Rattus norvegicus: one gene and its partners. The protein of the gene in region 1 purifies or fractionates together with the protein of each later gene. This does not show direct contact. Links are inferred from orthologs where the notes say so. Each region holds a gene or a part of one and is shown in the gene's direction. Other genes may lie near its edges.

Evidence for each region.
Region 2: the proteins of Ddx21 (region 1) and Stau1 purify together in Homo sapiens (affinity purification with mass spectrometry; 4 studies listed by BioGRID and IntAct, with this or other methods). This does not show direct contact. The link is inferred for Rattus norvegicus from reciprocal best matches to the Homo sapiens genes DDX21 and STAU1.
Region 3: the proteins of Ddx21 (region 1) and Rsl1d1 purify together in Homo sapiens (affinity purification with mass spectrometry; 3 studies listed by BioGRID and IntAct, with this or other methods). This does not show direct contact. The link is inferred for Rattus norvegicus from reciprocal best matches to the Homo sapiens genes DDX21 and RSL1D1.
Region 4: the proteins of Ddx21 (region 1) and C1qbp purify together in Homo sapiens (co-immunoprecipitation; 3 studies listed by BioGRID and IntAct, with this or other methods). This does not show direct contact. The link is inferred for Rattus norvegicus from reciprocal best matches to the Homo sapiens genes DDX21 and C1QBP.

The regions. Positions count from the first base shown.
Region 1 is NC_086038.1:31,089,233-31,096,345, reverse strand, and holds part of Ddx21 (nucleolar RNA helicase 2), read left to right. Parts: intron 1-1,578; coding exon 1,579-2,010; intron 2,011-4,254; coding exon 4,255-4,330; intron 4,331-5,340; coding exon 5,341-5,519; intron 5,520-6,357; coding exon 6,358-6,475; intron 6,476-7,113.
Region 2 is NC_086021.1:176,139,764-176,147,571, reverse strand, and holds the start of Stau1 (double-stranded RNA-binding protein Staufen homolog 1), read left to right. Parts: upstream 1-2,624; 5' UTR 2,625-2,804; intron 2,805-7,808. UniProt on the Homo sapiens protein: Binds double-stranded RNA (regardless of the sequence) and tubulin.
Region 3 is NC_086028.1:4,929,064-4,936,922, forward strand, and holds the start of Rsl1d1 (ribosomal L1 domain-containing protein 1), read left to right. Parts: upstream 1-2,775; 5' UTR 2,776-2,826; coding exon 2,827-2,931; intron 2,932-3,639; coding exon 3,640-3,776; intron 3,777-4,526; coding exon 4,527-4,662; intron 4,663-6,513; coding exon 6,514-6,662; intron 6,663-6,745; coding exon 6,746-6,847; intron 6,848-7,859. UniProt on the Homo sapiens protein: Regulates cellular senescence through inhibition of PTEN translation. Acts as a pro-apoptotic regulator in response to DNA damage.
Region 4 is NC_086028.1:56,198,108-56,205,680, reverse strand, and holds C1qbp (complement component 1 Q subcomponent-binding protein, mitochondrial precursor), read left to right. Parts: upstream 1-2,495; 5' UTR 2,496-2,496; coding exon 2,497-2,722; intron 2,723-3,149; coding exon 3,150-3,300; intron 3,301-4,982; coding exon 4,983-5,076; intron 5,077-6,195; coding exon 6,196-6,291; intron 6,292-6,444; coding exon 6,445-6,567; intron 6,568-6,749; coding exon 6,750-6,899; 3' UTR 6,900-7,147; downstream 7,148-7,573. Other genes in the region: Rpain (RPA-interacting protein), read right to left, coding at 7,276-7,305.

The DNA.
Region 1 (7,113 bases):
ATATTCTGCATATTAGATTTACATTATGATTCATAACGGTAGCAAACTTTGAAGTAACAACGAGATAATTTTATGGCTGGGGGGTCACTAAAATATGAACTATTTGGAAAGTTGAGAAAGAAAGACTGCCTTAGGCTATTATGTGAGAACTTAGTTAGTCCATTGCGATTTGGTCCTATGCTTATTGTCTGGGGCACTACTAGGTGGCTAGTAATCACTACAAGTTTTCCACGACATGAAGAGTTGTACTTTTAAATAAAGTTTCACATGTGAGAATGGTAGATTGGATGAAGTTTTTTGTTTGTTTCATATAGTGTCTATGTGAATTCACAGTGAAGTACAAACTTCTTGCGTGTTTACCATATAGAGGGGTTGGGGATTTAGCTCAGTGGTAGAGCACTTGCCTAGCAAGCACAAGGCCCTGGGTTCGGTCCTCAGCTCCGGAAAAAAAAAAAAAAAAGACAAAATAACCATATAGAAATTTAGGAGGGAAAAGAAAACTGCTTTTGCAATTATCTGAGGACACACAAACCTTTGGGCAGTGCTTGTTCACTGTTACAGTGTGTGCTCCTGTATGGGGATGGATGTGCTTGCCCATACAGCTAGTTAGAGGGCAGTGTTAGCTACCCCACCTCACCAAGACCCTAACCTGCATAACCCTGGTCACTCTGGAACGAATTCTGTAGACCAGGCTGGCCTCAAACTCCTGAGTGCTGGGATTAAAGGTGTGTATCGACCCTTCCCCAGCATGGAGTGACAAGGTTTCTCTCCGAATCTGGAGCCCTTTGATTCACCTAGTCTGGCTAGCTCCCTACTCCACCCCCACCAGCTGGGGTGACAAGCATGTGCTATCATACCCATTTTTTTCCCTGTGGGTGCTAGAGCTTCCTGTCAACCCCTCATGATGGCACAGTAAGAATTTTGCCTCCTGAACCATTTTTTGGAGTATGTAGTTTAGAGCCTTGGGAATCTCTCTAAAAAAATTAGTTTTATAATGGTTGGCTGATAAAACCTGACTTAGTTTGAAGAACTCTTTTATTCCCCCATGCTAATGACTATTGGTATATACTTATTTCCACTTATCTAAGAAGTGGTATTAAAAGCATATTGTGAGACTTATTTTTTAATTAAAATTACATTAAGCCAGGTGCAATAGCATATGACTTTAATCTTAGGAGGCAGAGGCAGTCAGATCTCCATGAGTTCAACAGCAGCCTGGCCTGCAGAGTGGCCCAGGATCGCCAGAGCCACACCTTGTCTCTCTAACGTTGTGATTCTAATTACATCATCACTCCCCCTCCCTCCCTCCCTCCCTCCCTCCCTCCCTTCCATGTAATTTCCACTTTGCTCCATTTCAAATCCATGGTCTCCTTTTAAAGTGATTGCACACACACACACACACACTGTACGTGTATAACATCAGGGTTGATTTTTAACTTCTACAGCGTTGAAATGCCTAAAGCTGTGTTTTTCACAACTGTAAGTAGTCCTGTGGTAATCCAGAATTGATGGGCCTTATACAGTATAGCAGCTTTATTCATTATTGCGGTTTTTGCTGTGTCTTTTATAAATTTTTAGAAAACTAGAAAAGAGAAGCCAAAATCTAAGACTGACGAGGCAACAGAAGGAGTGGAAGAGGCCGCTTCCTCCAAAGTGAAAGCAGTTAAAAAGAAAGGGCCTTCTGAGGATGATGTGGGTCCCCCTAAATCCAAGAAGGCCAAGAAGCAGGAGGAGGAGCCTCAAGATGACCCTGCTTCTAAAAGCAAAACCTCCAAGAAGAAAAAGGAGCCCCTAGAGAAGAAAGCACCCTCTGCTAAAACCAAAGAAATGAAAGCCGAGGAGCCTTCTGAGGAAGAGGCAGACGCTCCTAAGCCCAAAAAGACAAAGAAAGGGAAGGAAGCAAACGGAGATGTGGGAGAGAAGAGCCCCGGGCTGAAGAATGGGCTCTCCCATCCCAAGCCAGACTCCAGCTCCACCCAAGCTCCCGGAGAGGAAAGCGAGACAGAAAAGGTGAGCCTGCCTGTGTGTGCAGGACTGCGTTCCTTCTCACTGTGGGGCCTGCGCGCGAGCACTGGGCTTAATATTTTTTCTAGGTTTATTTTATTATTTTTGTGTGTTTGGGTGTTTTACTTGGATGTGTATTTGTGTGCCTTGTTTGTACCTGGTGCCCTTTGGGTCTGCTGAAACGGGAGTTATGGATGGTTGTGAACCTCCATGTGCATTCTGGGGGTCAAACCTAGACCTCTGCAAGAACAAGTGCTTTACTGCTGAGCCACATCTCCAAACACTTGAGCGTCTGTCTGTCTCTCTCTCTCTCTCTCTCTCTCTCTCTCTCTCTCTCTCTCTCTCTCTTTCTCTCTTTCTCTCTTTCTCTCTTTCTCTCTCTCAAGTTGATTTTTATATGTGTACGTCTTGTGTATATCGTTTGCCTGCGTCTATATCACATATGTGTACTTCCGTTGCCTGTGAGTCAGCAGCCTCTGGAGTTGCGCATGGAATTGAACCCCATCCTCTCTTTTGGTTTGGTTTTTGAGACAGAGCCACTGTACATAGCCCTGGTTGTTTAGGAATCATTATGTAGACCAGGTTGGCCTGTAACTCACAGAGAGCCATCTCCTCAGGGAGTGTTGCAATTAAATGCATGTGCCACCACACTTAGCTGTGTAAGTACATTCTTAATCAAGATTGATCTCTCAGGTCCCCATTTTTTTAAATACCCTTTTTTATCACTTCCCTGTGAGGGTTTCTCTGTAACCTTAGCTGTTCTGGAACTCACTCTGTACACTAGGCTAGCCTGGAATTCTGGTTTGCCCAAGTGCTGGATCAAAGTAGTTGGCCACCACTACCGAGCTTACTGGGTTTTTGTTTTGTCTTGTTTTTTTTTTCTTTTTTTTCCTTTTCTTTTTTTCAGAGCTGGGGACCGAACCCAGGGCCTTGTGCTTGCTAGGCAAGCGCTCTACCACTGAGCTAAATCCGCAACCCCATTTTGTCTTGTTTTTTGTTTTCCTTAATGAGATCTCATTTTGTATCTCAAATGCTAAAAATAAAGGCACACCCAGGCTTCTTTATTAGGTATCAAGGCAGGTTGAGACAGGGTCTTACTGTATATATTTCCAGACTGGCCTTGGACTCACAGTACAGCACAAGAGAACACACAGTTGTGTATCTGGACGTTGGAGGAAACTGAGGGGTCTGAAGGTTGAACTCTGGTGTCTTGTCAGGTTAGTCAGGGCTTTTACTCACTAAGCCATCTACCTGCCTCTACTGATTGGTTTGTCAACTGAGGTGTTTAGGTGAGCTTTTTTTCTCCTTTTAAAAGACATTCAGGGGGGGTTGGGGATTTAGCTCAGTGGTAGAGCGCTTACCTAGGAAGCACAAGGCCCTGGGTTCGGTCCCCAGCTCCGAAAAAAAGAACCAAAAAAAAAAAAAAAAGACATTCAGGGGCTGGAGAGATGGCTCAGTGGTTAAGAGCACTGACTGCTCTTCCAGAGGTCCTGAGTTCATTTCCCAACAACCACATGGTGGCTCACAACCATCTGTAATGGGATCTGATGCCCTCTTCTGGTGTGTTTTAAGACAGGGACAGTATACCTACATATGTACAATAAGTAAATAAATTTTTCAAAGATGTATTTATTATGTATATAGCATTCTGCCTGCATGTATGCCTGCAGGCCAGAAGAGGGCACCAGATCTCATTTATAGATGGTCATGAGCCACCATGTGGTTGCTGGGAATTGAACTCAGGACCTCTGGAAGAGCAGTCAGTGCTCTTAACCATGGAGCCATCTCTCCAGCCCTAAATAAATCTTTTAAAATGTCTTTATTTATTTTTATGTATGCAAGTACACTGTTGCTCTCTTTAGACACACCAGAAGAGGGCATCTGATCCCATTACAGATGGTTGTGAGCCACCATGTGGTTGCTGGGATTTGAACTCAGGACCTGTGGAAGAGCAGTCAGTGCTCTTAACCTCTGAGCCATCTCTCCAGCCCTAAATAAATCTTTTAATGCTCAGTTTTTGTGGAAGGCTGATGCACGTACCATGGTGTGTGTGGGTGTGTGTGTGTGTGTTAGACAACTTGTAGAGTCTGTTCTCTGTGGGTTCTGCTGGTCAAACTGAGTTCTTCAGGTTTAGACAGCAAGTGTCTTTGTTCCAGAGCTGTTTGAAAATGGCTTTTCTGTTTCTCCAGAGGGCTTTCTGCATTTACTGGTATGTGAATTGCTGATTTCTGTGGTCTTTTGCTTTGATAGGAAATACCCGTGGAGCAGAAAGAAGGAGCCTTCTCTAATTTTCCCATATCAGAAGAGACTGTCAAACTTCTCAAAGGTGAGGTCCGGAGCATCATGACTCTCTCTAACAGTGCACGGAGACCTTGCTTCTTCCTGCCGGCACCTATGCTACAGTGGAGGAGACCTGTGCATTACCTCTGGGGTTGTGCTGTCTGGGGTCATTCACAAGTGTGGTGACTGGCACCTGCCCTCCCTCCTTTCCTCTCCCCCCTTTATCTCTCCCCTCCCCCCCTCTTCTGTGTGTGTGTGTGTGTGTGTGTGTGTGTGTGTGTGACCTCTGCACACCAAATAAATAAATAAGGTAGAATCCTAATTGCCCATATCTCCTCTTGCACCTGAGGTTAGCCTCTCAGGGTGTCGGGTCCTTTGCTCTGTCTGTTCTACTGAGTAGTTCAGATGCTCTCCCCAGCACAGCGTGGTGTTGAACATAGACTCCGTTTTTAAAGTTCAGGTGAGCTTGTGGGTGAGATTTGATCAAAAGTGACAACCACACTATTTAAGTTACAATCAAAAAGTTATTAGAAATAATTTCCAGTCTAGTGGATTCTTCTAGGAAGACTTCTACTAGGAATATATTGACGCTGAGACTTCATAGGTAGATGTTTGTGAAAAGGTAGAAACGGGCTGGAGAGATGGCTCAGTGGTTAAGAGCACTGACTGCTCTTCCAGAGGTCCTGAGTTCAATTCCCAGCAACCACATGGTGGCTCACAACCATCTGTAATGGGGTCCGATGCCCTCTTCTGGTGTGTCTGAAGACAGCTACAGTGTACTCATATACACTAAGTAAATAAATAAATAAATAAATAAGGTAGAATCCCCTAATTCTGCAGGACCACAAAAATGACTGTGTTTCAGTTGGGGTTGTTTTTTTTTTTTGGTTCTTTTTTTCGGAACTGGGGACCGAACCCAGGGCCTTGCGCTTCCTAGGTAAGCACTCTACCACTGAGCTAAATCCCCAGCCCTGGGGTTGTTATTTTAACAAAGCCTCAAGATTTGATCCCTAAGGCTGAAAATAAAACAAAGGTAACACAATCATTCGTTCGCAGCTCGTGGGGTGAACTTCCTCTTCCCTATACAAGCCAAGACATTCCACCATGTGTACAGTGGGAAGGACTTAATCGCCCAGGCACGCACAGGAACCGGGAAGACCTTCTCCTTTGCCATCCCTTTGATTGAGAAACTTCAAGGTGGGCTGCAAGAGAGGAAGAGAGGCCGAGCCCCTCAGGTAACTGTCACAGTGCATCACAGGCTCAGGGACAGCTCCCAGAACCTCCGAGGTCCTTGTCTCACCCTGTGTATCTGAGTAGACTGGGGCGAGTCTTTCAGACGGCTGGCCATCAAGTCTGTCATTGTCCTGTAATGTGCCGCATGGCTGCAGTCATCCATACTTACTAATGTTCATATTTCCTTTAAAGTGTTGGAGGTTCTCAGTGCTCACAGACGGGGTCCTGGGTATTTGTTTATTTTGTCATGGTCTCTAGACTTGGCTGGTACTTAGCTCACAGAGACCAGCTTGCCTCTGCCTCTCGTGCTGGCAGTGTAAAGGTTTGTCCTCCCACACCTGGTTCTGTCATTGTTTCTGCTGTTACCCAGATGTGCCCAGTGAGTAAAGAGCCTGCCTGCTGTGGTTGGAGTCCAAGCGTGGTCTCCAGTGGGTCCTTGGACTCCAGCATTTCCTCTTTAATTTCTGCCTCAAAGGTTGTTGAGCATTAATTCTGAATAAAAAATAGAAAGTACTTTGAGTCGCCTAAGGCATCAGGGAAAAATGACAGCTAATGTTGGGTGTAGCTCCTCTGGGTTCTTTTCTTGGCGGTTCTGCACTAGTCTCTGGAGCAGTGGCATGTACACACCTACTTCTGATTGCTGTGCTCACAGGTCTTAAAACACTGCCTGGGGGAAGACGGTATTCGCTCCTGGCATGTAGTATGAGATTTACCACACAGCACATGGTGACTTTTTTCCGTATTTAGCAAGATGGTTGGATGAGTCGAGCATTGTGAATTCTGCAGTGGCTGAGAGACAGTTACGACGCAGTACTTAGAAATCCTGTGCTTCTCTTCCAGGTGCTAGTCCTTGCACCTACAAGAGAATTAGCAAATCAAGTGAGCAAAGACTTCAGTGACATCACCAAAAAGCTCTCAGTAGCCTGTTTTTATGGTGGAACTCCCTATGGTGGTCAAAGTAAGTACATTCAAATGCTGGAGGAGGGTGTTGTGGGTGCCTTCTCAACTTGAAGTGTGTCATATTTTGGGGTCTCTTGCCTGCTGTTGAAGGATGGCGAAGAGAAGGGTCCTAGGTGATTTTAGGTAAGTAAGTCTTAGGGTGTTCAGTATTTATCTGATGACCAAGAGGACAGACCCAGGGTGCCCGTCTCACCCCTTCTACATGTGCATTTCTTGCTGTAGGTGGCCCTTTTTTCACAAGCATCAGCTTGGGCTATAGTCTCTTCTTCCTATCCTAGTCCTCCCTAGTCAGGATGCTGCTCTCTTGGAAAGGAGAATCAAACATCCATACACAATGAGTCTGGTTTCCATCCTCACTGACTTTGGAAGGCCTATGTTTGAATCTTGACTGATGCCATACTAATTAGATGTCCAAGTTGGTTCATTTTCCTCTTAAAGAAGGTTGTAGTAAATAACTATGGTGCCTAGTGTAGACCATAGACTACAGCAGCAGCGGTCAAAGCCTCCAGATTGCCCTCATGCCAGGCCCGGTGGGTGGGCACCACAGTCCCAGTGCTTCTAGAGCTCCCTAGAGTAGTCACCCTTCTATGCCTTCTCACTTTTACATCCAGTCACGCATGAGTGACAGCAGGGAAG
Region 2 (7,808 bases), on another chromosome or scaffold:
TGAGGGGCCTGAGCTAGCTCAAATAAAATAAAAAGACCCTATTGTGATTGCATCAGATTGGCCCCTGTCTGTTTGGGGGGGAATCACTAATATTTCCCTGGCAATACAGTGCTTTCCAGCAAGTTTGTTTTCTTTTTTTTTTAAAGATTTATTTATTTATTATACATAAGCACACTGTAGCTGTCTTCAGACACACAAGAAGAGGGCATCAGATCCCACTACAGATGGTTGTGAGCCACCATGTGGTTGCTGGGATTTGAACTCAGGACCTCTGGAATAGCAGTCATTGCTCTTAACCACTGAGCCATCTCTCCAGCCCACAAGTTTGTTTTCTTCTGTATTTAGAGACTACCGATTTTCTTCCAAGGTCCACACACTTTTTTTTTTTTTTTTTTGGTTATTGTTGTTGTAATTTTGTTACTGGCTCTCACTGTGTAGCCCTGGCTGAGCCTGAAACTTGTTCTGTAGACCAGAATGGCTTTGTACTCAGAGATCTGCTCTGCTCTGCCTCTCTAGGGTTGGGATTAAAGGTGTGTGCTGACATGTCCAGACTGGGTTTGTTTTTATGTGAGGAATACTTTGGACATTAGTTAGGCACTGTAATCCTAGCGGTTGAGAGACCGAGGCAGGAGGATCATCTAGAACAGTTAGTTCTTTTTTTTTTTTCCGGGGCTGGGGAACCGAACACCAGGACCTTGCGCTTCCTAGGTAAGCGCTCTACCACTGAGCCAAATCCCCAACCCGGAGTTAGTTATTTTAATGGCTGTAGAGGCACCTACCTTTAATTCCAGCACCCAGGAGGCAGAGGTATTCGGATCTCTCTGAATTTGAGGGCAGCCAGAGCTAAATAATAAGACCCCGTTTCAAAAAAAAACAAAAAACAAAAAACAAAACCCAACCCCTCCCCCAAATAAACAAAAACCCACCAAAATTTATTATTTTGTGTGTAAAATATGCACATTTTACCCAGTGGGCATCTGCACTGCCCTGAACTGCCTTTTTTTTTTTTTTTTCTTTTTTTCGGAGCTGGGGACCGAACCCAGGGCCTTGCACTTGCTAGGCAAGAGCTCTACCACTGAGCTAAATCCCCAACCCCCTATTTTTTTTTAACGTTTTTTTATTATTTGTAAGTACATTGTAGATGTACAGTATGAACCTACATATTTTTATGTGGCCTACTTAGCACAGGGTTGGTTGGGAACCAGAAGGTTGGGCTGGTTTTGGTACTGGAACTCAATGTCACTGAATTTTACAAGAAGCAAACTAAGGAGACCTGATTGGGATAAAAGAGTCTCCCAAGATCTGGGTAAGTCAGAGGAGGGTCTCTCTAGCTACAGCAGATAGCATTGTGAATTCATGCAAAGTCAGCCACAGTGCTGTGGCAAGGAGACTGAGTTGTTAGGCAAACTATTTATTTATTTATTTATTTATTTAATTTTTTGTTTTTTTGAGACAGAGTTTCTGTCTGTAGCCCTGGCTGTTTTGGAACTCAAGAGATCCACCTCTCTCTGCCTCTCCAAGGGCTGAGATTAAAATGTCTGTGCCACTACCACCTGGCTAGGGTTTTTTCTGTGTGTGTGTGTGTGTGTGTGTGTGTGTGTGTGTGTGTACTTTTGGGGTAGAGATGGAACCTAGAGCCTTGGGTATCTAGCTATGATGTCTACCTAGGTGCTTCAATCACAGGCATCACTTAAAATAAGCCGCAGAGGATCCCATAACCTCTGACAAGGATCCCATCTTTCTAGTACTAAAGACCTCTCTCCCCTGCCTCCCATAAGAGGGCTGTTACAGGGCTGGAGAGATGGCTATCAGTTAAGAGCAGTTATTATTCTTGAAGAGGACCTGTCTCACAACTGCCTATAACTCCTGCACCAGGCAGGAAGTGACAGCACTGGACTCAGTGGACACCTGAACTCACACGCTCATACATACCATGCACACTCACACATACACGCACACGCGCGCAAGAAAATTAAGAAAACCCAAGAGGGCGAATAGAAAAGTTACATCATGAGTGGGAGATGGAGCTCAGTGCTAGAAGTTTGCTTCAATCTCCAGGACCACATCAAAGAAACCAACACCAGCCTCTTGTCCACAGAAGCACACTCAGTTTAGAGCTCCGTGAAAGCAACCAGAAAGTACTTGGTGCTTGTCTTAAAACAGAATCAGACTTCATTTACTGTGCTTTCCCCAGTAGAATGTAAACTCCATGAGGGCCGGGACTTGTGCATTCTCACTGTATTTTCAGTTTCTGACCTTGTACACAGCAGCAGGTTAACAAATGTTAGTATAGGAAGAAGGAGTGAACGCAGGAAGGAAACATAAAGCCTGGACAAGAAAGGAAGTTAGGCCTGCTTTCCCTGCCGAACCGGAGCTCCTGGGAAACTACAACTCCCAGTACACCTTGGACTCAACGCAGCGGTGCCTGGCCCCCGTTGGTCTTACGTGCCTAGAGAGCGCATGCTGGACGCGGCGCCTGCTGGGACTTGTGGTTCCTGCCACGGTGGGGGGGGTGGGGCCGGCATGGAGGCGGGCGGGGGCCGGGGGCGGGCGCGGCCCCTCCCCCGTCACTTCCTGCCGGGCTGCAGGCGCCGAGCCACTCTTCAGCGTTTGCGCTGGCTGTCGTCGCGTCTGTGTGCGCTCCCCCTTCTTCTGACCCCCGGCCCGGCGGCGCCCGCCTTCTCCGCAGCCACTCCGTCTCTTCCCTCCCCCGGTCTTTTTTTCCTCGCCCTCTTCTTTTGCTTTTCTTCCTCGCCGCCGCCCAATACCGCCGGCCCCGGGACGAGCTCTGGGGAAGCAGCCAGGTAAGGCGCTCGGGTCGGGCCGGGCCGAGCAGCGGAAGGACCCACGCAGGCACGGCGTCAGCGGGAGGTGGGCGGCGGGTGGGCTAGGCCTCGAGGGCGCGGGAGCTGCGGCCCAGGCTCATCTCCGCCCGCGGGGCCTTCCCGGAGGAGGCGGGCCCTCCGCGCTGCTCGTGGGCCCAGTGCGGGAGTTAACGCGGGGGTCGCGGGCAGGGGCTGGGCCGGTCGGCAGGCCACCAGGTTTCGGTGCTGTGCACAGTGTTGCGGCCACTGCGGAGCTGTGGGATAAGGTGCCAATTCCCGGCTCTGTCCCCTTAGCAAGTCACTTCGTACTCTTTGTGTCTCTGTTGTGAGGGGGAAAAGGAGGGGGAAGAGTATTAATCCTGTCCCAACCCCGTCCCTGCCTCTTCAGGCTGTGAAGTTGCAGTGAAATGGGGCGTGTAAAGCGCTTATCAGTGTGCCAGACCCACACCGTGTCCCAATAAACCGTTTGCATAATTTATTAACGTGGTATGAAAGTATAATTTAGGCTTCAGACTGGACAGAAGTTGACCTACCTTCCCATTTGGGTTTTCTCCGAGGCAGAAGAATCCCTCGTGCCCACTGCCAGTGCCTGGGCATTGTGCTTGCTTGGCACCAGAAAGGGGCGCGCGCTTAATGGGGACACTGTAGCAGACAGGTTATGGATGTAAAGCCATCCTTTCTGTAGAACCAGTTTCAGGCACTTCACTGGCTCCCGTAGGCTCCGCAACCTGTCCCATGTTTCCTTGCCACCACCCAGAACGTTATTGTCATTCCTTTTTATGAGAAAGTTGCTGGCATAAGCTCCCCTTGGGTTCAGCAGACCTTTTTGGAGCCCTCTTGTGTGTCAGGTTCTGGAGGTGGAGTATGCAAAGATGCTAAAACCGTGCTTTCTTGGTCCACATCTGTAGTTCTTCACTTTCTTTAGCTGAGCTTCGATTTCACTCCCGGTACCTATCCGTTTCCCTTAAACTCTGGCCGCACCTCCGTCCTTGTGGCAGTATTGCTGGTCTGAAGCTTTATCTTGTACCCTTTTGCATTTTGCCCATGTATTGTGTGCCTTTTAAAGGTCACTATTTTCAACTGCTTATAGCTGAAATTCTGTTTCTGTTTTTTTGCTTGCTTGTTTGTTTTTTTCTGAGATGTGGTTTCTCTGTGCAGCCCAGGCTGTCCTGGAACTTGCTCTGTAGCCCAGTCTGGGTAACTGTAATTCTTGAGAATTGGAAGTGTTGGAAGAGATTTAAACTAGGATTTTGGTCTTTCAGGGATCTGTGCTTACCAAATGCAAATTACATCACTACTTGTTGAAGTAAAAACTAAAAATACATTTGGGGAGTGTGGAGGGAGAAGTCTTGGTCATTCTAGTGAACTTTTAGTAGACTCTTTATTCTGACTCAGCCTTTCTCTTTTCTTTAGTAAGATTAAGTACTCTTTTTTTTTTTTTTTTTTTTTGGTTCTTTTTTTCGGAGCTGGGGACCGAACCCAGGGCCTTGTGCTTCTTAGGTAAGCGCTCTACCACTGAGCTAAATCCCCAACCCCTTGTTTTTGTTTTTAAATCTGTGCTTAGTGTCATAGGTGTCCTCCTCCTTAAAGAAACACAGCTGGTACAGGAGCAGATTTATAAGAGCAATTCAGTGTGTGTTTTCTGTGCTCAATGCTCTTCTACATGGAGGCCGGAGGTCAACTTCTGGTGTCTTGTCTTCCTTGACGGCTCTCTACCTAATTTCCTGGAACAGACTCTGAGGGTTGCTGCCTTTCCTGGGCTACTCATCTCTTCAGCCTCTCGGCAGATTGTTTTAGGCAGTAAGTTTCTTTAATAAGTGGAGAATGTTTATATCACACCCATCTGATATTGCATGGCTGTGTCTGTGTTTTTGACATCTTCCTAGTGTTTTTGTAATGTCAGGAAATAGTTTCTAGCGTCCATTGTTGAGTGTAATGGCTTTTCTCTTTGTTTGTTTGTTTGTTTGTTTTGGATTTTTTTGTTTTTAGAGACCAGGGTTTCTCTGGGTAACATAGCCCTGACTGTCCAGGAACTTGCTTTGTAGACCAGGCTGGCCTTGGACAGAGAGGTCACCCTGCCTCTGCCTTTGGAGGAGTCCTGGGATCAAAGGCATTCAATATTTGTCTGCTTTTCAATTAGTCATTAATAGTTCAGGAACTGTTGATTCAGTCCTTAAGGAGTAAGGCTGAAATCTGGGCTGAAAAGTGGCATTCTCCTAGAGAAGGGGAGTCCGCTAATTCTGCAGCTGTTTTCCTGCTGTGTATTAATCATATGTCAGCCAAGAAACCAGACCCCAAAAGAAAGAAAAAAAAAAAAAAAAAAAAAAAGAGAAAGCGCAGTCAGTTCTAGTATACAAGAAATGTCATTTCATTGACAGATTAACAGTCAGCCTGATATGACCTGGTTAAAGTCAAAATGACTAAGATTATGATAGATTTAGGATTTGTTTTCAAAACAAGCTAGTTTAAAGGAGGGAGTTCAAGAAGAGACAAGATGGACCTTAACTATGAGTTAATAATTATCAAAGCTGGGTGACCAAATACACAGTGCCCTCTATAGCATTCAACTTTAATACTTAAAAACAAGACAACTGGGGTTGGGGATTTAGCTTAGTGGTAGAGCGCTTGCCTAGCAAGCACAAGGCCCTGGGTTCAGTCCCCAGCTCTGGAAAAAAAGAAAAGAAGAGAAAAAAAAAAAAAAAAACCAAGACAACCTCAGGTTCTCTGTCACAGCCTTAACTGTTACCTCACTGGATCTGTCATATTAGTGATATGGTAAAGGATATTCTTGGCGCTGTTAGCAGAATTGTTTGTTTAGGGACTGTTCAGAGGTAGGCTCTGTATAGCCAGACATTACACAGAGACCGACAGAGAGTCTAAATTTGAGGTCTGTATCTGCTTTTTCCACTCAGATCTGGGAACCTCATGGAAGAGTGGGAGGAAAAATTGTAGGAGTCACAGGGGGTGGAGGATACCAGAGCAAGGCCCACTGAATCAACCAAACAGGATGTGTGCAGGCTGGGCCTGCAAGGTCTGCACAGGCTGAGCCTGCATGGTCTGCACAGGCTGAGCCTGCATGGTCTGCACTGGGGTCTTTGCAAACATGTTGTAGCTGTTAGCTTGGTGTGGGAGCAGTTTTGTCTCTGACTCTTTTGCCAGTTCTTGGGACTCTTTCCTCCCTGTAGGATTGCCTTGTCCAGCTTTGGGAGGGCATTTGTCTTACTTTATTATATCTTGTTTTGTTGTGTTTAGTTGTTGTCTTTTGGAGGCCTGGTGTCTTCTAAAGGGAGGTTCTGGAGGAAACAGGAGGTGAGGAGGTGAGTTAGGAGGAGTGGAAGGAAGGGAAACTGTGGGTAGGTTGTATTATTGTATGAAAGAAAATTCTATTTTCAGTAAACATAAACCAACAACAAAAAGATGACTCTGTCTAAAGCAAAACAAAAAGGAGAAATAAACAAAACTTGCCTTCTAGAACCCTCAGGCTGTATACAGTCCTAGCTATTAGGGAAGCTGAGGCAGCTGCCTGGGCAGCTGTGGTGAGAAAGACCCTGTCTCAGAGTAGAAGGAAAAGGGCCTTAGGGCTATAGCTCAGTGGTAGGCCCTTGCCTAACACACACAAGGCTGCAGGCTTAAACTCTACTGCAAGCTCCCCAAAAGTGGTTGAATTGCTGTGCGGTATTTACAAACAACAGATTGGCTGAATGCTAAGAACCTTAGCACTGTGACCAGGATGCAACTCCAAGTTAGAGACTATATTTTCCCTTGTCTGAAAGCAAAGGTCTTTTACAGAGATGAGATTGACCAGAATGTTGTAAATGTTCTGCCGTTGCTCAATTTTCTCTGTAACTTTGTTATTTCTTCGCTCAGAGCTTGGTCAGTACAGTGCCAGTGTTCTGTGGTTTCAGTTGTTCCAGCCTGGGTGGTGGGAGGGGGATGTCTGTTCACATTAATTTAGGATCTTGTCCCTAATCCCAGAATTTATGGCTAAGAAGGAATAAAACATTTAAGAACAATGGTCCTTCCCCATTAGCCTTAAAGTAAAACTTTGGAGTACTTAGAATTTTTACTGTACTTGTAGTCTCTTCAGAGTAGATGCATCCAGAAAGCTCATTTATATACATATTATTTTAAGTTTATATGTGGACCTGACTCCTGAATCCCAGATTCCCTAGTCTGAAGCCAAACCAGAGCATTGCTCTTGCTGTAATCATGGCAGGTCAGACAGTAGGAGCCCAGTGTGACACCTTTCCTGGACTCACGTGAACACAGTGTCTTCAGAACTGACCTGCTCAGTTCCCCAGGCTGTGGGTTTTTGAAATACATAAACCTTTTAGTTTTGTCTTGGACAATCTGTTTACAGTTATATAGTCTGACTGCTTTCCTCACCACCCCTCCCAGCTAGGGTGTTAGGATCTCCAGACAGGCCATCTTAAGCGACGGTCACTGTTGCTTCCCTTGGATGACAGCTTTTGGAATTGCTTGTAAAGCATTCTTTCAGCCTGAAGTTGTAGAGACATCAAACTGTTGACTAAGATTTCCGTGACTTGTAACACATGGGACCTGTAATGGATAAAGTGTTTGTGGAATTTTCTGTGTTTTTTGTTTTTAACAAAAGCAAAAAACGTCTTTCTAGAATCCCAGCTGTAGTGCTTATGCTGCTCTAAGATACAGACGGACGAACATGAGAAGACCTGTGAGTTGCTGTGGTTACTTTCTCCCAACATTTTATTACAAAGTTTTAAACACATACCAAAGTTTCTGAAATTTTAGTCCTGGCCCCTTTAAGTACCACCTTCCTTACCACATCACCAACTCCACTTGCACTGGCGTGCTTGTCTGTTTCACGACGTACTTGTCTGTCCCACGTGATGTCCACTAAGGATTGTTAACTTAGCTGTTCTGCTGTGCTGAGGTGGGCCTAGGGCCTTGCTTAAAATAGGCAAAAGCTCTACCGATAAGCGACATCACCAGCTGTTAAGGTTG
Region 3 (7,859 bases), on another chromosome or scaffold:
TTCATGCTCAGAAATTTGTGGATTATCTAGGTTTCCATGTATCTCCACAGTTTTGTTTGTAGATGGTTTCATGTAGCTTAGACTGGCCTTAAACATGCCAGGTATCTAAGGCTTACTTTGAAATTCCTAATTCTATAATTCGAAGCCCTGGTGTTAGGGATGTGAGCCACCAAATCCACATTGCAAACTACTATTCATCAAATTGAGGGATGAGGAGAAAAGACTTAAAAATAATTCAATTTGTCTTAGAAGTACTCAATACCGAGAAAGGAAATACATGGGAAGCAAGTTGAGGGGATCATATGAGTTCATGGTAAATCTTGGTAAATGTGAGATACAAAAATGCAAATATTGATTACACAGTTGAATATGTACATGGGAGGACTATAAATTTCTATCAAACACCAATTGATAGAGAACAAATCACCCCCTTTGGTAGCTAAAATTAACAAAGGCTTCTTCAGTGTTTATGAGAAAGCTGGAGCAGCATAGCTGGCTGCTTCTGACTTGGAGTCTCTCGTGTCTGCAGAGAAGGCTTTGCTCCCACCTTCATGCATGTGGTGGCTAGCTGGTTGACAAAGTAGCCTCACAGCATATCGTCTCGTCTGGCTTCCCTCTCTCTAGGGCCACCTTACAAATGAGTGAATGAGAGGGAGTTGTAAAGACAAAACTTACATGCATGATAGTAATCACACTAACGTCAGAACTGACACTGGGGTGAGAGTACTGCTCTGCAGCCAAGCATGGCTTAGAAGTCACGGCAATCCCTCTGTAAAAGGCCGCTCAGGCCATGTTTGACATCTTATGTTTCCAATACACTAGTAGGAAGAACCAAGTCACTATCAGCTCACGGTGAAAATGTGGGGTGTGTATGTTGAAGCCCCATTACTTGAAAGTAAGATTACCAAAGAGTTCTAGATCTTTCTTCTTGCAATACCACAGCCAGACCAACTTTACCAACTACACTAAAGGTGTAATTCATCACTTTTCCTTTGCTACTAGTACTTTTTCTTTCACGTGTAACTGCAGTTTGATAACTAGTTCCTTTGTCAGTTTTAATAGCCTCATATCCATCTCTTTTGCAATTCTTTGGCTCTAGTCACTTATTGTTTCCAAACGCCTCCAGGATCTACCATCTGAATTTGTGTAATTTCCTTGGCCCAAAAGTCTGGTGCTTGGGACTTGAGTACTGCTTGCTCTCCCAAAAGACTACAGTTTTGACTCTTAGCATCCACGTGGTGGTTTCTAACCATCTGTAATTCCAGTTCTAGGATGATCTAAGACTCTCTTCTGGCCTCCACCAGCACTGCTCACATGTGGTGCACAGACATACATGCAAGTAAAACATCCACACATAAAATAAAAATAATAAATCTCTTGGAACAAACCAACAACAACAGCAACAAAAAAGTCTAATCCCAGCACCTGGGCAACAGAGGCAGGCAGATTTCTATGAGTTTAAGACCAGCCTGGCCTACAAGGAGAGATCCTGGACAGCCAAGGCTGTTCACAGAGAAATTCTGTCTTCAAAAACCAAAAAAGTCTGGTTCTCAAACTTGAATACAGGTAAGAGAACATCTAAGACCACTAATGCTCTTTGGAGTATGTCAGGAAGACTGCATGCCTCAAGCCCAACTCATTGCAATATGCTAAAAGTCCGTCCTATACCAGATTCTCAAAGAGACAAGTAGAAGCAGGTGCCAATGACTTTTCTAAAAGTGCATTCTACAAGTTAAATTAAGACAAAGTCCTCAGCAGACACTAGCAGAGTATGATTTTTCAAGGAGCACTTTTGGAAAACTGACAATGGAGAGAGAACATTTTATTCCCACACAGCTAGCTGAGGGGGGCCTGTCACTATCCTTAACATCCACGTAAAAGTTCCTAAATAAATTATGTCTCTGTGCGGGTACAAGTTGGAGGATAGGGATTTGCTCACCATTGTAAATCTAGCTTGTGAGAGGTAGGGAAGGAGGCTCACTTAGGTAATCCTGGCTATATAGGAAAATCCTGACTTAAGTGGGGGAGTATTGGTAGATGCTTTTAATCCTAGCACTCTGCAACCTGAAGCAGGAGGATCTCAGTGAGTTCGAGGTCAGACTGGTATACACAGAGAATTCCAGAACAGCCAGAACTGCCATAGTAGAGACCCTGTCTCGAACCAAACGAAAATAAAAACTGGTGGTACCACTCTGAGCGCCTTGTACTGACTGAGAACAACCTCAAATACACTGTATTACGCGAAACCAGCACAGTGGGTATGCTTGGTAACTAACCACTCTTAAAACGTTCTGACAGTATTCTACGAGTTATCCCTTCATACTCACTTAGGGTCTTACCTGGGCCGAAACTCCTGAAAGACCGACTCATTTTTTCGTTTCTCGCGCAGCATCACGCGCCTAGTGTTGGCGGTTCCTCTTTATTTCATGGGAACACCACCAATTTGGGGAAACCGACGCCTGAAGTCACAACAAGGTGGGAAGCCACGGCTTCCCGCTCTTCGGAAGACTGCACGGGATCGAAGACAGGGCTCTGGCCTCTCCTTAGGGCGCTCTCTCAGTGTTCTCCGGAGAGGAGCGACAGGGTTTGCGAGGCCTGGAGCCTCAGAAAGAGCCGGACGCAAGGGAGACTTTTCCACTGGAATACTCTAGGCACCGCTTCAGTCCTCAACAACTAGTTCCGAGGACAGCCACAGCATCTAATTACGCTGCCTTACCGGAAATGACACCACTGGTCTCCTGCAGTCCCACCCTCTGCCTTCCGGTTCCGGGTTTGGGGGCTTCGCGTGCGCAGGCATTCTGACTCCTGAATTCCACACGAGGCGGCATGAAGTGCTTAGCGTCCGAGTCTCCCGATGCCTCGGCCGCTACGGCGACCACCACCGAGGTGCAAGCGGAACCGACCGCTCTTGAACAGCTGGACAGAGAGCAGGCGAGTGGCTTTCGGGGACAACGAGTCGGAAGCAGGGTGGTGCAGGGTGTGGGGCAAGAGGCCAGGAAATCAAGTGGGCCCACGACTGCGTTGGCTTCCAGGAGCTCGAGGCAGGCCTCTGAAAACGCACCCCAGCAGTCTCGCTTTTCCCACACTTACGGCCTGTTTGCCTCCTGTTGAAAGTGGGCTTCTGCGCTCCGTCCTGCAGCATTACGGGTCATATGTACGTGCACAAAGTGTTTTTAGCAGCCCTGAGCACATGACGCACAATAAATGCTCCTAGCACTATTCGCTTTTCCTGATCGTTTCCTTTCCCGTAGAGGGCAGGAGAAGCTTCTGAATAGCTTTTTCTCTTACGTAGAAAAGACAACTTGTAAACAGATCCAAGGTACTTAGATGTTTTAAATGCATTCTTAAGTTGCACTGGGTACAAATTGTAAGATCCTAATAAGCTGATGGAATTTGCTTAATAGAAAGAGGAGCGCCAGGCGTAGCGGTACATGCCTTTAATCCCAGCCCTCCGGAGACAGGCAGGCGAATCTTTTCAGTAGGATGCCAGCCTGAACTATATTCCAGGACAGTCAAAGATATACAGAAAAGTCCTCTCTTGAAACCTTAGCCCCCCAAAGGAGCAAAGGAAACAAATATATCTGTATGGAAGCAATTAACATAGATTGAGGAAATTAATCGATTTTTCTGTCTCTGCAGATAAGAAAGGCAGTAGAAGTTCTGTTTGATAACTCCAAGTCCAGAAAAAATAATGAATTGCTGTTGAATGGGAGTGAAAATCTGTTTTTAATGGTGATACTATGGAAAATTCCAAAGAAAGAACTTAGGATCAGAGTGTAAGTAATTTATCTGTTTGTTTCATTGTTTTGTTTCATTTGTTTTTCCGCTGGTTTGGTTGTTACTAAGGCTTGCCTGGCTCCAAACTCACAGTAATATATATGCCTCTCCCTCTTGAGTGCTGGGGTTAAAGTTAAAACTCACTCAGAGTGTGTCTGAGTATAAGAATGTGGGCCACATGTGTCCAGTGCTTGCAGAAGCCAAAAGAGGGTGTCAGATCACCTGGGACTGCAGAAACAAGAGGTCATGAGCAGCCCAGTGTGGGTACAGGCGACAGAAATCAGATTTCCTGGGAAAGAAGCAAATGCTCTTAACTACTGAATGTGTGGATTCCTGCATTTGGTCTCTCTAGCCCATTGTTTTCTTTTTAGAGCCAGAAGTGACAGAGGCAGGGAGATCTCTTTAGCTGGAAGTCAGCCTTGTCTTCAGAGATAGTCCCAAGATAGCCAGGGATGCCATGAAAATAGATAAATTAAAATATTTTTAAACTGCATTTATTTCTGTTCGTGTGTTTGTCTATCTGTCTGGAGGGTTAGGTGCACACATATGGGAGTGAATCAGTATCATTTCTCTCCCTCCATGTTGGTCCTGGAGTTTGAGCTCTGGTTGTTGGGCATGGCATTGAGCATGTGTTTTCACCCACTGATTCATCTGGCCTGCCTGTATGTATTGAATGTTCTCGTTAGCTCTCAGTGAGGATAAACATGTTCTGGAATAACACTTTGCTCCTTGTTTGTCATGTTTTGTAGGTCTTTGCCTCATAGCATCCTCTCAGAATCCTCAGAAGTCTGTCTGTTTACCAAAGATGAATGTGATTCACCTGAACAGACAGAGGGTTTCTATAAAAAGCTTTTGAAAAAGCATGGAGTAAACACTATCTCTCAGGTAGGAGGTGTGCTGATGTGTTAAAGTCCTTTCAGAGACTTTAGAAATGAAGTATCATACACTGCTATAATTTATGGTCCTTTAGGTCCACTTTCTCTGTAATTTTTTTTTTTTTTTTTTTTTTGGTTCTTTTTTTTCGGAGCTGGGGATCGAACCCAGGGCCTTGTGCTTCCTAGGCAAGCGCTCTACCACTGAGCTAAATCCCCAACCCCCTTTCTCTGTAATTTTAACTTATCCCTTTATGGGTATGAATGTGTATTCCTAACGTGTGTGTGCACCACATGGATGCAGGTGTCCTCCAGGGCCAGAAAAGGTATTGAGATTCCCTGGAGCTGGAATTACAGGTGGTGAGAGCTGCCTCATGGGTGCTTGGAAATAAAACCCCGGTCCTTCAAGGGAGCATCAAATCCTGCCAAGCCGTCTCTCCAGCTCCCCTTTCTCTCTCTCTCTCTCTCTCTCTTTTTTTAAGATTTATTTTATTTATATGAATACACTGTAGCTGTCTTCAGACACACGGGAAGAAGGATGGTTGTGAGCCACCATGTGGTTGCTGGGAATTGAACTCAGGACCTATGGAAGAGCAGTCAGTGCTCTTAACCTCTGAGCCACCTCTCCAGCCCTCTCTTTTTTTTTTTTAAGATTTATTTATTATATATGAGTACACTGTACACTTCAGACACACCAGAAGAGGGCATTGGATTCCATTACAGATGGTTGTGAGCCACCATGTGGTTGCTGGGATTTGAACTCAGGTCTTCAGGAAGAGCAGTCAGTGCTCTTAACCACTGAGCCATCCCTCCTTTCTCTTTTTAATCTTACCGTCTCTGCTTTTGGTTGGCTCTATTTCCTTTTGCTTTTGCTAAAGGCACTATTTTGATTTGTAACTGAAAACCTAAATGCATGTCAGATTTCACATCTTTTTCAGTGTCTTGAGCACACTGCCTCCAGGAGGATGGGGTTCCCTGCAGCTGGAGTTGTAGAAGGTTGTTTTGTTTCTCTGGGTTCTCTAATATAGTCAGAGCTCCGAAGTACTGAGCCATCTATGATACCAGATTGTTTAAAAACCCAACTTTTCGTGTACTTGTAGAGCATCACATCTGGCTCTGTTTTGTGACTATTTGTTTATCTTTGTACTCTGTTTCTTTATCTTTCTCCTGGTACTAGGAATTGATTCCAAAACCATGCACATGCTACCCCAAACTTGCAGTGTAGACCAGGTTGGCCTCCAACTCAATTTCCTTCATGCTAGGATATAAGATGTACACCTCTACACCAGGTGCTGCCACCCCACCCTAACACCCGTGCTTTTTAAACAAGTGTCTGGGTGTTTTGTCTACATGTATCTGTGCACCTTGTGCATACAATTACCCATGTAGACCAGAATAGAGTCTTGGATTCCCTGCACCTGGAGAGGTACACATGGCCACAAGCTACTGTGTGGGTGTTGGAATCAAACCCATGTCCTCTGTAAGAGCAGCCAGTGCTTTTAACCACTAAGCTATCTCTGTAGCTCATTTTATTACGTTTGAGATAGCATTTTGATCAATTGCCTCGGCTGCCCTTACCCTCAGAGTTAGTATTCTTCAACCTGAGATAGTCAAGAACAGTTATGTCATCTCCTTCAGTGCCTGGCTGACATGCTGGGTTTTTATCCAGGCTCCTTGATTGTTCTCTTCTCAGGGTCTTCCGGCGTTTTGCAAGGCCTCCAGCATATTTTAGCTGCTTAGGAATTCATTAATCTGAGAGAGGCATGCATAGCCCTGGGACTGGTGTGAAGAGAAGTGTTAAGTATTTCTCCTCCTGTTTTAGATCTTAATGCTTTATGGTGTTTCGCTTGTTTTTGTATTCTAGATTATCCCCTTTAAGACGTTAAAAACAGAATATAAAGCCTATGAAGCCAAGCTCCGCCTCCTGGGTAGCTTTGATGTCTTTATTGCTGATGAACGAATCCGACGGCATTTGCCCACACACATAGGAAGGCATTTCTATCAGAGGAAGAAGTGAGTTTATTTGCAGTGACCAGACTTTAATGGTATGGGATTTTCTGTGTGTCTCCAGTGTTTTGATGCCTCTGTTTTTTTAGAGTTCCAGTATCTGTAAACCTTCTGGCAAAGAATCTGTCCAAAGAGATTAACCGAACTATCACAGGGACCGTCTTAAACATCTCTAAGCGTGGTTCTTGCAGGTAACAAGGAACATTTATATGCGATTTCTTTAAACTGTACATGTAACTGTGATCGAGTCCTTTTTTTAACCATAAAGGATCATGTTAATCAAACCAGGACCTTCTATTAAAACCCAGTAAGCTTTTTTCTTTTTTTTTTTTTTTTTTTTAAGTCTTATGAGAAAAAGAAGAGGTAGAAGTAACTTCAGTCCCCAATAACAAGTTCGTTGTCTTTGTTGTCTGATTTTTCTGGACAGCTAGGCAAATGTGTTCACCCTAGGTAGGGCAGGAACCATAGACCAAAGGAGTGATTGTACAGTCTGCCCTGATGAACGGGGAGCTTATTGTGCTGACGCAGAGTGGCACGTGTGATGTTCCTTACAGAGACATGGCTTGCCTGTCGTAAGCAGCTGTGTCATGAAGGGCCTCCCCCAGCATGAGGTTGTCAGGAAAGCTAGCACCGGAGTTCTGCACAGCCCTGCCAACTCCACGGAAAGTGCCTGAGCTCAGGTAGCCTTGGGGAGGAGCCTGTTGAGTATTGTACCTGTTTAGACCTGCTGTCCCCCTTGTTGAATGTTTCCTCTGGGAGGAAGTAGCTACATGTTAATGTCTTTGGTTCATTCTCACCCAGGATCCCGAACCAGGATAACTTAGCCTTAGAGTCAACAAGACTGCTCAGATTTAAGGCATCTATCCACCAAGCATGACAACCAGGACCATCACTGATACAAGGAGAGAACTAATACTCGCAAACTGTCCTGTGACACTCACACAAAACAAACATACCTGAGTATTTATCTCATAAAGAAAAGCAAGACTGGAGAGATGGCTCCGCTATTCTTCAGAGAACCCAAGTATGGTTTCCAACACCCATGGTAGATGTGGGTCATAACAACCTGTAATTTTCCCTCTAGGGATTTAATGTTTCTGGACCAAAGGGGCACCCACATGTTCACATGCACAGACACACAGATACACGTAGTTTTAAATGAGCCAGGCATGGTAGCGCACCTCTAATCCTAGCACTGCGAAG
Region 4 (7,573 bases), on another chromosome or scaffold:
TTTATAAGCAATGGGCCAAACTACCTTCAAGGCACTTCGAAGACAGTGGCCACTTTCTTCACTGGGTCCAACAAGCTCTTTCCAGAGAGCGTAGCCTGACTGGGCACTTCCATTGCCAGGATCTCATTGGTCCACAGCTGTGTCTGTTGAGTCTGGTCTAGGCTTTATTATAACCCTAGCCATGGTTAGTCAAGCTTTTAGCCAGGACTTAGGGTTGTCTGAGTACTTGCGACTATTTCTTTGATAAAATGGTCACATTATCAACTGTCTGAAATGCTCTCCAGAATGTGTTTTCTTTTTAAGTGTATTTTTGTATTTATGCAAGGTTTATTTAACCTTGCTTGGCAAGAGGAACTTTTGTATTTTTAATAGAGCACTCATTATGCTAATTAAAGAAAACAAGGAGTAGGTAATATATTCCTCAGCAATGGACAGTTTCTGTTCCTTAGTAAACTTAAGAGGTGTTTTCTGGGTTAAAGGAAACGTAGATTGCAGTGGCTGGCTCCAGAGGAGGCCTAGGACTTTAACCTGGAGGGACTGCTGCAGAGAGGACTGGGGCTCCCCAGAAAAAGGAGTGAAGGATACCGTTTCTACATAACTAACGTATCTGTACAGAAATCTGCTTACCACCCAAACATTGTGGGAGAATTCTAATAGAGTATTTAGTTTTTTATTAAGCTTTTTAAAAAATTACCTTTCAACACAGTTGCTCAGGGATTACATCAGGTGGGAACCCCATTCTGACTCCACAGATCACTACAAAGAAGTTAATGCTTGTCTTAAGCCGAAGGGACAGCACTCTTCAAGCTTCCTTCAGAAAGTGAAATGTTTGGTGATTTTACTACAGTACAACCTAAGCTGCTTTTCCAGTTGGCAAACTCTCCAACATGAAGACTCCAGTCTGCACAGACTAGCCTCCAACAAGCAGCTGGACTTCAGTTAGCAGCCCTGCGTCCTGCCGGTGTTTATCTTCTCTGTAACCATGGCCACGACACCCGGGACAAGTTTCATTACCAGTCCCCTGTGAGAGCCTTTGCTCTCTTGTAACAGAATTCCAAAACACAGCAACATATTTACTGTGACACAATCCTTGTCTGCAGCTACCTACCAGGACCTGTTTGGAACTGTGGCCATGCATCTAAGATGCCATTCCTTGAGCACATAAGCTAGACTATACCTGTGAGGAAACAATTTTATATCGATTGCTGTAGTGTAGAAAAATAAGAAGTGGATTTGGACTTGCACTCTAATCTCTCTGATCTCAAACATAAGAAACAGTTCTTGTATATAATGCTCAAAAATTACTTTTGACTATTAAGTCCATAAAAACCTGAATCTTGTATACGATCTGTGTGGCCTCTTATTTTGGGCCTCCTTTCCCTTATTTAAAGAATGCTGTTTAGAATATTAAACAGTAGTTTCATTGCCATTCATTCAGTAAGACTCGGTATCCAACATTTGCTTTTGGTGTTTTGAGAGGTCTTTTATGTAACCCTGGCTGTTCTGGAACATGCTGTGTAACCAGGCTGACCTTAAACTCGGCTGTTTGCCTCTACCTCCCAGATGCTAGGACCAGAGAGCATGAGCGGGGTTTTTGGGGTGTGTGTGTGTGTGTGTGTGTGTGTGTGTGTGTGTGTGTGTGTGTGTGTGTGTGAAATTCGGTTGGTTAAATTTTGTTTTTGTTTCTTGGGTTGGGTTTTGGATTTTGTTGGTTTTGTTTTGTGTGTGTGTGTTTCTAATGTCCTTGAGAGTTTTGCCTGCATGTCTGCACTACGTTCGTTCATGGTGTTGGTAAAAGTCAAAAGAGGGTGTCTGCTGCCCTGGAACTGGAGGTAGATGGTTGTGAGAAGGCGTGTGGATGCTGGCAATAGAACTCCAGGCCTCTGTAAGAGCAACAGTGCTCTTAACCACTGAGCCCTGTCTCCAGCCTGTTATCCCTGATTCTCAACCTAAATGTGATGATGAAAGCCATCTATTCCTGCTCCCCCCCCCCCAAAAAAAAACGATGGTCCATTAAAACCGGTACACGAATTGTTAGGGGGTGCAGAGGTTTCCAGCATAAATCCTTCATCCTGTTCTTGGGATTCTGGGTCTAATGTGAGGCCTGGATGCCCACTCCACAGCAGCTGCATGCAGGTCAGTCTGAGCTTTTCAGAACTAGGCGGTTTCAGAAGACCGCTAAGTGATCTTTGTTGGGATGAGACCTGAGCGTATTCCACGAAGTAACAAAGTGTGGCTTGGGTTGAGAAAAGCAGGTGAATTGGGGAGAACGGGCAGCAAGGGAGATTTGATGGCCAGGGTAGAATACAGCTGAGCCAAGGCCTCTCGGGCTGCGCTGGCGGCTCCCAGCAGAGGGCGCGGTGCGGTCCGGCCCGGGTACTGCAGTCCTCCGACGTGGATAGCGCTTCCCGGGCGAGGGCGGGGCTTCCGGCGGCTCGCGAGGTCACACGGTGTCTTGGCCCGGTCGTCCTTCCCTTTGCACGTGTCCACCCCGCGATGCTCCCTCTGCTGCGCTGCGTGCCCCGCGCCCTGGGTGCCGCCGCCACGGGCCTCCGAGCCTCCATCCCGGCCCCGCCGCTTCGGCATTTACTGCAGCCCGCGCCCCGGCCATGCCTCCGGCCCTTCGGTTTGCTCAGCGTACGAGCCGGCTCCGCTCGGCGCTCTGGCCTCCTGCAGCCCCCGGTTCCCTGCGCGTGCGGCTGCGGCGCTCTGCACACGGAAGGTAAGGTTCACGCACCCTAGTCGGAATGCGGCGATCCAGCTCGGAACTGGCCCTCATGATCGCAGGTTCCCCTTCTCGCGTCTTGAAAATGTGGCTTAGCAAAGTCGGTAGGGTCGTGGTTTCAAAGTGTGGTTGTTGGGTCCACGTCTTTTTGGACATGGAAGAGGATAGTTGGAAATTCTTTTGTTTTATACGGGAAGTAATAGTAATGAGTTCATGATGAGAAATAACCATCTCATGATAAGTAATATCAGTTCAGCTCAGTAAATATATCCTGGTGTTTTTATAGAGTGAGGAACGGACGTTTTGAGGCGTGATTTACGCTACAGTCTTAGAACAGCCTTAAGAATAGATTACACGCAGTCCGAGTCAATCGGTTAGAGCAACTACCTTTTCTCACTGTTGATCATTTTGGCCTTTCTTTTAGGAGACAAGGCCTTTGTTGAATTTTTGACTGATGAAATTAAGGAAGAAAAGAAGATCCAGAAGCATAAGTCCCTTCCCAAAATGTCTGGAGATTGGGAGCTGGAAGTGAACGGCACGGAGGCTAAATTATTGCGCAAAGTTGCCGGAGAAAAGTAAGTACTGGCCCAGGGGTTGTATACTGGATTCTCAAGTCAGAAGTTCCTGGTTACAGCATCCTGTTCTGACCATCCCCAGAAGAGCCTGAGCTTAGGCCCAATGCTTTGATAAAATGGCTTTAAGAAAGCATTAAACTTGGGAAAGTTCTTAGGTTCCAGGGAGTGCATTCACTGAATGAATACAAGCTTCTATGGCTTGTATTAAGGAGACCTGAAGCAGCTCCAGAGTATGTAGAGGGAAGCCTGTGGGAGGGGCAAACGCAGTTATTGGGTTATTAATGAGGGGTGCTGTGCCAGTCTGGATTAAGCATTGGGTTGTTGTTTTGTTGTTTAATAGTACTGGTAAATCATTTGTTTAGAACTCCCGTCTGGCTTGTGTTTATAATAGTTGAAAGTGCACGTGTGTAACTGTTAAGTCACAGGAAGAAGTTACCATGTAGAAAGGCCATCAGACAAAGGGAGAAGGTTCTTAGCCAAACTTAGCTCTTCCTCTCCTCAAGGGATTCGGTTTGAGACAAGGTCTCTGTGTGGCTGCTGTGTAGCATAGACTGGGCTCAGACTCTGGGTCCTGCTGCTTCAGACACCTGTGTGCTGAGGTTGCAGACATGCGCCACCACACCTGGCACCCCTAAAACCGTTAAACCCTTGTCTGTGCTGTTTCGTGTTACCCATTCACCCACAGTCTTCCTTGGCTAAGTCTACTTGGACTCTTAAGTGCTTCTCTAGCTTGTGTGAGGCTCCAGGATCCATCCCCAGTGCTTCAGGAGCACAGTGTACAAGAAAGTTTTATTGGGGGTGCGGGGGTTTATAAGCTTAGCAGTAAGTGTGTGTGTGTAGATTAGAAAGTTCAAGGCCAGGCTGAGTGTCGGTGGGGCTCACCGCCTTTAATTCTATCACCCTGGGAGGCATAGACAGGTAGATTTCTGTAAGTTCAAAGCCAGCCTGGTCCACCAGCAAGTACTAAGACAGCCAAGGCTACACAAATAAGTCCTGTCTTGAAAAACCAAAATAAGAGAGGGAAGGAGGGAGGGAAGGAAGAAGTAGGTTTAGTCTGGGCTATCGCAGGTTGTACATGCCCTTTGGTTCACCTTGCCATTCTTTTTTCGGGGGCAAAGTGGCAGCAAGGCATTGCCCAGTTGGACTCCAGGGAGCAGCCCCCAGTACACTCTTCTTGGGTTGGTTGGCCCTCTGAATCTGTGTAAGCGGAACTTCTTTTCCAGGTGTTGAGACAAAGGAACTGTCTCTGACTTTAGAACAGGTGCTGTCCATCACATAAGAATTCTTACAGTCACACAAGGGCCAGGGTGCAGCTGTGAACTTCCGCCAAGCATGGGCAGGGTACTTATTTGAGCTCCAGAATCCCCCCAGAAGGGAAAGAAGCCACTAGGTGTTTCAGTTCCTAGTTTGTGGTTGTGCAAAGTGAATCTGCTCTGCAGTGGCTGTGAGGCTTTCCGGGGCAGATGGCTGTCCACCTCCATTAGCTTCCATGGGAAGACCCCAGGACACCAACCTGGCAGCTTCATCCACAGCTGTAGTCATTTAACTTGTAGGTACACTTCAGATGAAATTCTCTTCACTTCCCTGTGTGGCTAGGATGGAGACATTGTTTCAGTGGGCCTTGCTCTCCTGTTACCACTAGGTTAATGTGTACCTTGGTGTATCTCTACCTGCCTTTCTAGGATCACTGTCACTTTCAACATTAACAATAGCATCCCTCCAACCTTTGATGGTGAAGAGGAGCCCTCACAGGGGCAGAAGGCCGAAGAGCAGGAGGTAAGCAGTGACATGGCAGACAGCCAAGATTTCTGTCCCCAAAAGCAAGAACTGTTTCACTTTCACTCTTTTTAAAATCCTCCCTGCTAGGGTGAGGTGAAGGGTGAGCCTCCTGAGACCTGTAATGCAGTCATTCCGAGTGAGTTTTAGCTGGAGTTGTGGATGGACCATGTTTGTAGAGTGTTGTCCCCTAAGGGCTTAGGGTTTATCACGGGCCTGTGCCCTCACCCCTGCCAGTGTTGGGGAGTGGGGATACTTAGTATCCAGAAGCTATCGTTTGGAGTGTTTTCAGTGTGAAAGATGACAAGTGGGTAATCAACACTAGTCATGTGACCAAAATAGGAAGGCCGGGGGCGGGGCTTTTTAAATTGTGTTTATTTGTATGTTTGGGGCTTATGCGTGCAATTGTAGAGGTCAAAAGCAACTTATAGGAACGTCAATTCCATCCTTCTGCCATGTGGGTTCCAGGGTTAAACATCAGGCTTTGGCAGCAAACACCGGTGAACCACCTTGCCAGCTCAGCCTTAAGAGATTTTTAACATTTGATCAGTTGAGATTTTTCCTTTAGTTGCTGGCCCTCGTGACTGGGTCTAGATAGTATTCAGACATTTTAGAAATAGTGTGCCTGGCCTAGGAGCCAACCACTGAGGGGGCTACAGGATCCCCAGGCCATCTGACTAAGCAGATGGCAGTCTTGTGTACTGACAAGCATGAAGAGCGGAGTTCCCTGTTGTGCTTCTATCCTAGCCTGTACCCAACTCCTTATCCGCTGCCTGGGCCCGTCCTTTGGGTCACAGTAAAGGGAAGGTTCTGCCATTTCTGTTAAGGTGGCCACTTAGCTAGAGCCCCTATGTTCCAGGCTCTGATCCTGTACCAAAACAGTCAAAGGGGAAGGAGGTCTAGGTCTGTGCTTCAGCAGTGTGGGGGAGCAGAGATGCCATTCTAAACCCATGTGATTGATAACCTGTTTAGGGCTGTTGGAAGATTTGAGTGCCTTATCCACTGCCTAAGGCTAAGAAATGGGTAATAATAACCTAATGGCGTGGCTGTCGGACATTCTGAACTTCCTGGGGCACCCTACCAACACTGGCATGTGCTGACTTATTCCTGTCTCTCCAGCCAGAACTGACATCAACTCCCAATTTTGTGGTTGAAGTTACAAAGACTGATGGCAAGAAGACCCTTGTACTGGACTGCCACTATCCTGAGGACGAGGTTGGTAGGGTGGAGTCTCCTGACCTGTGTAGCATGCGCGGGAAAGGTCTGGTAGTCTAGACCAGAGGGGAAGATGGTGAGAGTGGGGTGGGAGCAGGGCTGGAACTGCAGGTCCTCTTGGCACTTCACTTACTTACCTTTGCTGTCTCTCAGATCGGACACGAAGATGAGGCCGAGAGTGACATTTTCTCTATTAAGGAAGTGAGCTTTCAGACCACTGGTGACTCTGAGTGGAGGGATACAAACTACACACTCAACACAGACTCCCTGGACTGGGTGAGTGCTGGCTGAGAGGGGCTGGTGCTTGGCTTTTGCAGAGAAGGGAGGAAGTAGCCTTACAGGAGGGAAAACTGTTGTTTGCACACATGCACTGGACCACATGGGAAGGTCAGAGGACCTTGCCAAACCACTTTGGTTTTGTTCTGTTGTTTTTCAGGCTAGTATGTTTCTCTCCGCAGGCCTTGTATGACCACCTAATGGATTTCCTTGCGGACCGAGGGGTGGATAACACTTTTGCAGATGAGTTGGTGGAGCTCAGCACAGCCCTGGAGCACCAGGAATATATCACCTTTCTTGAGGACCTCAAAAGCTTTGTCAAGAGTCAGTAGAACTGTGAGACTGAAGGCCTCAATCTAAACGGCCAGCTCTGGTGGGCGAGCAAAAGCTGCCTTGACATCACAACTATGCTTTGAAATGGCTGTCATCCTAATATATGGGGGAAAGCAAGTTTAAATTATCGCCGTTACACCTCCATTTACTATTCCTTTGGGCTCTTTTCCTGTACACATCTATTATTTGTAGATTTTTGTATGACATGATGATGAACAATAAATCTGACTTCATCTCCTCCAGGAAAGTTCCGACTTTTCTTTCACCCTACGTCAGAACACAAGAGCAGAGATGTTTGAAAAGTTTTAATATAAAATCAGTTATATACAAAAGGCCCTCTTAGGAAATGAGTTGTTTTCAGCCATGAGGTCAGGACTAGAGGATCACAGCCCAAGTGTCACAAGCCTGGATTAAATAGAAAACACGTTAGTGTAAATTATATCCTAGACATGAACAGTTAAGTCTTACATGGCTAACAGCTGTCAGCAGTCATGACGGGTGTACTACAAGTAGAACCACTGAGTTAATTCACTGGATACTTTATCAAAGAAGCCACACCTTTCATGGACCTGTTTGGCCATACTGACGCCATCAACAGTGTAGCTTATAAGCTAGGACCAAGTACCCTCAGAAAGCAAAACCTGACAGCTTGGGGCTTGTCCAGCCTGACAGA